2 linked regions of the Coturnix japonica genome follow. The protein of the gene in region 2 interacts with the protein of the main gene of each other region in a pairwise test. Links are inferred from orthologs where the notes say so. Each region holds a gene or a part of one and is shown on either strand. Other genes may lie near its edges.

The links. The genes of interacting proteins can lie anywhere in the genome.
Region 1: the proteins of MAL2 (region 2) and PBX3 interact in a two-hybrid assay, tested with the Homo sapiens proteins (2 studies listed by BioGRID). The two-hybrid records come from large-scale screens. The link is inferred for Coturnix japonica from reciprocal best matches to the Homo sapiens genes MAL2 and PBX3.

The regions. Positions count from the first base shown.
Region 1 is NC_029532.1:8,212,844-8,216,828, reverse strand, and holds the start of PBX3 (pre-B-cell leukemia transcription factor 3), read right to left. Parts: upstream 2,805-3,985; 5' UTR 1,943-2,804; coding exon 1,746-1,942; intron 1,709-1,745; exon of another isoform or gene 1,554-1,708; intron 1,527-1,553; exon of another isoform or gene 1,229-1,526; intron 1,100-1,228; coding exon 1,026-1,099; intron 1-1,025. UniProt on the Homo sapiens protein: Transcriptional activator that binds the sequence 5'-ATCAATCAA-3'.
Region 2 is NC_029517.1:122,955,377-122,958,887, forward strand, and holds part of MAL2 (protein MAL2), read left to right. Parts: intron 1-354; coding exon 355-513; intron 514-2,984; coding exon 2,985-3,056; 3' UTR 3,057-3,511. UniProt on the Homo sapiens protein: Member of the machinery of polarized transport. Required for the indirect transcytotic route at the step of the egress of the transcytosing cargo from perinuclear endosomes in order for it to travel to the apical surface via a raft-dependent pathway.

The sequences.
Region 1 (3,985 bases), on a different chromosome or scaffold from region 2:
GGTCACAGGACCCAGGACCCACGGCCGCTCCGGCTCAGCACAAGCAGGGGCCGCTGCCGGCACCGCTGCACGGGCACAAAGTTCAGGGCAGGAAAACAAACAGGAGCCGCGGATGGAGGGACACCGCGCAGGCAGGGGGGAGGCAGAGAGGATCGCGCTCCTTATCTGAGGTAATGTCACGCAGTGTAACGTGGAATCAATCTTAATATTTGCAGCGCAGCCGATATCCAGCTCTCAGCCGTCAGCAGAGCTGAAGCGGGACCCGGCGGCACAGGAGCCCGTGCACAACACGCACCAACTGCACCGACAGCCGCGCACCGGGCAGCTCAGCTGGGCTCTGCTGCGTGCACGAGGCGGCTGCTAACCTCTATAACCCCAGATTTTCAGCTTGCAACTAAGAGGGCTGCAATGGAGCACCAAATACAGCTAAAAAGCAAACGAGTGCAGGTGTTCAGTTTTAAGGCCAGATTAGGAAAAAAGAAAAAAGAAAAAAAAAAGTCAAAAAAGTCCTTATTGTCACAATGAAGAGTACGATATTTTTCAAAATTGTCTTATTTTAAAAAAAGAAAAAATCTCTGTAAATTCAGCGATGTAAGAAATTTGCAAAAATCCCTTCAAACGCCTTCGAGACAAACGCGACATTCCTTCCCGTCTCATTAATGTTGCACGGAAAATAACGTTGTTGTGACCATCATTTCAGTGTTTCAAACCCCGCCGCCCGCAGCTGCCAACGCGGAGCCGGAGCCGGAGCCGGAGCCGCTCTGCACGCGCGGCCGCATCCGTCACTTCGGCGCTGCCCGTCCCTCTCCAGCGCTTCCCTCGCGGCGCTGCCGGCGCTGCACGCGGCGGATCCGGGCCCGGGCCGGGCGCTGCCGGGTGCCGCTGTGCGCCGGTACCGCGGGCAGGGCAGGGCAGGGCCGGGCGCATCCCGGAGGCGGCGGAGGGCCGCGGCCGAGCAGCGGGCGGCAGCGCCGAGGCGCGGCGGAGGAGGGCTCAAGATGGCTGCGGCGCGGGCCGGCCCTTACCTGTTTTCTCCTTGATCTCGCAGAGGACGCTGAAGAGCGCGGGCTTCATCCTGTGGCAGTTCAGCGCGTGCTTCCTGCAAGAGAGCACACACAGCGTTAGCGCCCGACGCGAACATGGCGCCCGCCGCGCCGCGCCGCCAGGCCGCCCGCAGAGCCCGGCATCGGGCCCCGAAACCGGCCCCGAAACCGGCCCCGGCCCGCACCAGGAGCGGGCCCGAGCGGGGCCGTTGCTCCGTGCCACACCGCGGCGGCGCCTCTCAGCGCCGGGCCGGGCCCGGGCCCCGCTGCGCGCGGCGTAAATCAGCGCCGTCCGGGGCTGATTTATTGCGGAGCGGCCCGGGCCGGGCCGCGCTTTGTTTCGCAGGGCGGTGATTTAGGACGGCCGCCGCTCTCTCCCCCCGCGGCGGTGTCTGCTCGGCGCCGCCATCCATCTCCCGCCGCGCCGGGCACGGGGCAGCGCCGCGGAAAGTTGCGGCCCGGCCCGGGGCCCGCGGACACACGGACACGGGACGGGGCCGGCTCGAGCACCTCCCGCTGCCGCGTTTATCGCTCGGCTCGAGGCGTTCAGCGGCGTTAAGCGGCGTTCAGCGGCGCTCCGGCCGCGCCCCGCTCGCCCGGCGGTTCCTCCGGCGCCAGAAGTTCTGTCCCGGCCGCGTTCCCGGGCCGGAGCTGCGCGCCCCACGCGCGCCGACAGACAAGGCGTAACGAGACGACACCAACTTTGCTTGCGCCTCGTCCAGGCTTTGGTCGGTGATGGTCATGATCTGGTGCAGGATGTCCCCGATGTCCTGCTTCCTGCCGTCGCCGTCGGCCCCGTCGTGTCCGTGTGGAGGCGGCAGGGCCATGCCCCCCTGCACCGAGTGCCCCGCCAGGTTGACGCCCGCCAGGGTCTGCAGCATGCGGGACTGCTCGTCCATGGCCCCGCGCCGCGGGGGCACTGAGCGCCCCGGCTCGGCCCCGCCGCTCCGCGACGGCGAGAGGCGAAAAAAAAAGGCAAAAACACCAAAAGGAAACGGCGGCCGAAGGAGCGGCGGTGCCGGGAGCGGCGGCGGCTGGAAACGCGCTGTTCTCCCCGGCGCGGTAAATCACTCTTCTTTAGTTACAGTCTTCTCCCGTCAGCACCATGTCTGTGCCGGGCCGCTGCCTGTCCCCGGAGCGATCTTCCTCCACAGCGTTTTATTATGAGCAGTAGTATGATTGTTATCCTCTGCTATTATTGTTTTTATTGTTGCTTTCTATGTCTTTTCCCCACTTTGTCCAAAGAATCTTCTATGCGAAAAGGCAACAAAATAAAAAAAAAAAAAAAAAGTAAAAAAAAAATAAAAAATGACAAAATGCCCAAAGTTGGATTATTCAGATCCCGCAGAAGTTGGGAGGGCAAAGAGCAAAAAGCACAACGAGCCGAGCGGCCCCGGACCGACACATCAAAACGGCACCAAAACACGAGCAAAATTAATGCCCTCCCCCCAAAAATCACCAACCATCCCGGGTGAGCGGGGGGACGGCGAGGAGCAAAGTTTGAACTCGCGCAAAGAAAAGAGCGGAAATCGAGGGGAAAGAACTGTAAAAAAATTAATTACACACTGTGTGCGAAGCAACGTGCAAAAATATCAGCCGGCGGGGATTTATGAGCGCGGCCGCCCGGTGACTGTGTGTGCTTTATGTTGTTTGATGGCCGCTCCGGTGAGGGATTGACAGCCTGCCAATGCCACTCACTCACCCCGCAGACGTGTCACCCTGTGAGCAGCGCCGGACGAGCCACAGGACGAGCCGATCCGCCCCGCCCCGCAGCGCGCCGCCCCTCCCGCCCCGCCCCGCCCCATCGGGCGTGTCCGCCGCCGCCCCGCCCCGCGCCGCGGGGTCGCCCTCCCGCCGGGCCCGGAGCCGCGGCGCTCCCCGGGGGGCGGGCTCCGCGCGGAGCGGCGGGACCGGCGGCCAATCGGCGCGGCCGCGGGCGGGCGCTCCGGCCAATCGGCGACAGAGGCGCGGCGCCGCGCCCGCCCGCCCCCGCGGAGCCCCCGCCCCCTCGGCCGAGAAACTTGCGATTGGGCCGTTCGAACGGTCACGTGGCCCCGACGAAAGCCGCTCCGGCCCCGCCCCTTCTGTTGCTATGGGAGCGCCCCGGCCTCCGCTACACGCCGGCACCGAGACGGGACCGCGGCAGCACCGCGCGGCGGGACGGGACGGGACGGGACGGGGCAGCGCCCAGAGCGTGGGCGGTTTCAGAGCGCTGAGCTTTGGGGACGGAGCTTCGGAGCTTTACGAAGTTGGGTTCCCTCAGCTCCATAGCAAACAGCGCGGGGCTGTCACAGATGTGACGTGTGTACAGAACAAACAGCGGCTCGTGCTCCCGCCGTGTTACCTGCACATCCCGCCGGCCCCGCGCCTCCCTCACCTGCCCGGCCATGCCTGGCTGTCGCTGCGCGGTGTGACGGCATTAACACAGTCTCGGTTCGGCGCTGTGAAGCCCCGGCACGAATTGGAGCCGCGCTCGGCGGGGACGCGCTCTGTGTGACGGACTGCTCCGGATAAAAGTCATGTCCAAACTAAAACCTCTCCCCAACATCTCCTGGATGTGCAGCTGATGGCACAGGATCAATGTGGCCAATAGAGCTCTCCATGTTCCTCCACAGCTCCCGCTGCTATCACAGCTGACACCACCACGTCTCCTCCCCTCAGCACCATCACTCCGACGTCCCCTGTTTGACGTGGGGTTCCTCTCCACGTCCCGTGGGGGATGTTCTGGCTATTTCGGGTTCAACACTTTTACTGTTCCTCCAGGTAGTTAGAACATTCTCTAACATCTTCCATCTTCATTACTGAGACATTTTCTGGTATGAATGATCGCGTTCTTAGTGTCATCCAGCTTTATTAAAACTGCTGCTCCAAAGAGCTGTTCTATTCTCATTATTTCGAATACTTTGCACGTCAGCTTACATTTGTCCACCAAGTGTGAGGCT
Region 2 (3,511 bases):
CTGTATGTCCCCTGTTTTTAACCTAAGCCTCACTAGGGGAGAATTCTGTAAGCTCCCACTTTTAGCTTTAAAGTGATCTGAAAAGGTCAGCACACGTGCTTGTAGATGAGTACATGCCTCTTAATTTGAAAGAATGCAGGGTTTGGGGAGAGGGAGGGCTGCCCTTTATTACTAATTATGTTGAGTTGCTTATAATTGTAGGCAGTTATGAAAATATGTTGTGCTTAAGCATTGCTTATGAACGATTATTATCACTGCTTGTTTCATGTTTCTGTGTTGGATTTCATTTATGCTGAGACTAGAAGGGTTAGATATGTATAGCAGCCTGGACTGAACCTGTTGTTTGCTTTTCAGGACTTCCTTTTCCATGGTGCTACTTTTGTCTTTTATTTTGGAGCTTTTCTACTGCAAGCAGCAACTACATCCCTGCATCACTACCCTCGCAGATTAAATTCCACCACATCTGTGACTATTCTGGGTGATCATGAATATAACATAAGCATAGCAGCCTCGGTATGTATTTCATGAACTTGTACCTAGCAGTGGAATTCTGATGTAAGCACTGGTAACCAGCCTTTCAACTTGGGAACTGCGCTGGAATGGGAAGAGGGATTGTGAGGAAGAAAATAGTCTTTGAAAGCAGCAAACATTCTGGAATAATCAGCCATTCTTACAGTGGCATGCAAAAAAAGTGCAGTGATCTGTTAATGGAGCCTAACGAGATAGATGCTTAGATGGTACTGTTTACAGTAGTGTTTTAAGTCTGTGATTACTACAGAATCTAGTTTTTAGGTGAGATATTTAGTAAAAATAATGCTAGGTATTGAAATAGAAGCAAAAGATGAAAACTGAGCCTTCATCAAAGTGTCAGGTATGACTTTCAAGCCTGCTCTCAAACTTGTAATTGCTTGGGTGTTTTGATACCTTTTAGATAGTCCTGAGCATGCCATAGGGAAAAATGTTGGACTAGCTCCTTATAAAGCTCCAGGTACATATTTTCTGATGTCAAGCATAAAAAGCAGCTGCAAGGGGCGTGCTATCTCCTGTGGCAAGGATTAGAGAGCTTTTATTAATCAATAAAGCTCTCTAAGCTAAGCTCAGATTGCCTTTTTATCACTATAATTGCATCATCACTGAATCACCATATCTGGTGATGTGTGTGTTCATTGCTGAGTCAGAAAATACACAGACCTTCAGCTTTCTCCCTAGCTGGACTCCTGAATGGCAAGTAGTGGTGTGCCAGCAGAATTAATTGGAAGAACTGAAACTGCTGCTTGTTTTGTGTTTTGGGTTGGTTGGTTGGTTTGGTTATTGTTGTGTTTCTGAGTTTGGGCTGTGGGATTTGTTTGTTTGTATTTGTATCTTCCAGGGCATCTCACATACTTAAAGGAACTTCCTACATTTATTAAGTTTCTGAATCATTTTGGGGGTATCTCTTGTCTTCAGAACTAGATAACCGTAGATTTTACACAATAAATACCTTCAGCTCATATTAGAGTGGGTCAAAATGAATGAACCCAACGTCTAAGAGTTACACCGTTTCTTCAAGATTAGGAAAGAAAGGCCTTGTACTTTGGCAAGCTAGGCTCTGAAAGAGTGAATTGAGTATGTCAGTCTTCAAGACACAAATTCCTCACCATTACCCACTTGCCTGTGACATAGTCCAGCACAAATTCCTGTATGACCATGGCTGGTAGACAGATGATGTCTCTCAACTGTGTCTAAACTGGTGGAGAGCTTTGAATTAATTACATGTCTCAAATTCCATACTTCAAAGTAGCTCCGCAGTCCTTGTTTCAGTGTGTTCAGATCTTACTTGATACGTGGTAACTCATGTGTCTCTCCAACAACAAAGTACTGAGGAATACAAAGACTCTTTACCTCTTTCATACTCTCCTTCTTTTCTAAGAAGAGTTCAGTACTTCACAACCCTTGGATCTTTGTTCAGATGAAGTAAGAGGATGTGATTTTGTAACTCACCTTATCTGTTAATTAAGAGATGGTGGGAGATGGTGAATCAAATGATGTAGTTTTTAGTATCTTCTTCTTTTTTTTTTTTTTTTTTTTTTTTTTAATTAAAAGTACCTGATTAGGAAGTCAGAGCATACAAATAAACAAAAAGTGACCCTTTGAAACACATCAGTAAAACAGTCTACAAACAAATAAGATAAGGCCTTGCTAACTTTTCCATCTGAAAATGACTTTCTAGTTGTGTATACTGCAATTAAAATGTATCTTTTGCTTTTATGAATAATACTCCTAGGATCTATTCAAACCTTGATTTATCAAATCAGTGCATGTGTGGAATCAAGGTTGTTATCGTTGGATCAAATCTATATGTTCTAAGAGAAAGTGTCCTTGATCAGTAGTGGACAATATGAGACATTTTTGTTACTTCCAACTCAGTTTCTAACTTCTCCCTTCTTGTTTATGTTACATACTCACTTTTGCCGTGGCACTATCTACAGTTCTTATCTGTTCATTTTCTTGAGCTGTAGCATCTTCCTGACATTTCTCAACAATCTGTCATGTCTTTTTCTCTGGTTGAAGAGGCCCAACTGTTTCTTTCTGCAAGTAAAAGGCTCTGCTGTTTGGAGGGACATCTCGTTCATTGTTTGCCAGTAAAGGCATTTACCTGGATACTTTCTAATGAAATACTAATCTTAGATTCTCAGTCTAGATAAGAGGAAACTGAAATATCAAGCGCTTAATTTCTACAATAACACACAACCTCTTCTGTTTATATCCTATGTCAAAATATCTTCAGCAGCTAGCAGCTAAGATAATAACAATAAGGTGGGCTTAAAACAGAGTTTATGAGAAGGCTTCAGATGATACCAGGTCTGTCTTTACTACTGGGGGGGTACCTTTTGAGTCGTTTGTGTTGTTACACTAATTTAAAATAGAAAAAAATATGTAGAGCAATATAATGTGTGATTCACTTTTTTTCTCTTCTTTCTCTTTTCTCCCTGCTCATCCTTTAGATTTTTGCCTTTGCAACAGCTGTTTGTTATGGTTTCAGCACAGCCCTGGCTTTGAGGAGATGGAAGCTATAGCAGTTGAAGAGACTTTGATTCCCAAGAGTTCAACTTCAGATCAAATTAAGTACTACTTGTCTGTTTTACTGTAATGTAATTCCAAAAAAGACTTTTTGCTTAAAATTCGTTTCCAAGTGCTGAAATGCAAATAACCCTTAATCAGGATTTCTTTAACAGAAGGTTCTGTCTCTTCCTCTTTTTTATTTTTTACTTTCTTTGGGAACTCCTTAGAAACGTTGTTTGTTGAATTGTAATCCAGAGTTCAGAGATAAACAGATGTTACAAGCAGATAACCGAATTCTGGTGCTAAACCAGAAGAACAGGAAGAAAACTGAAACTAAACAGACATGTTACCTGCATAGGCAGCTAAAAGAGCTACCCCCTTGTTAAGGCCTAGGATTGAGCTCTACGTGTGCTGCAGCATTACAGTGTGTTCCACACAGGTAGGACCTTGAGGCTCTTTGTAGAGTCAT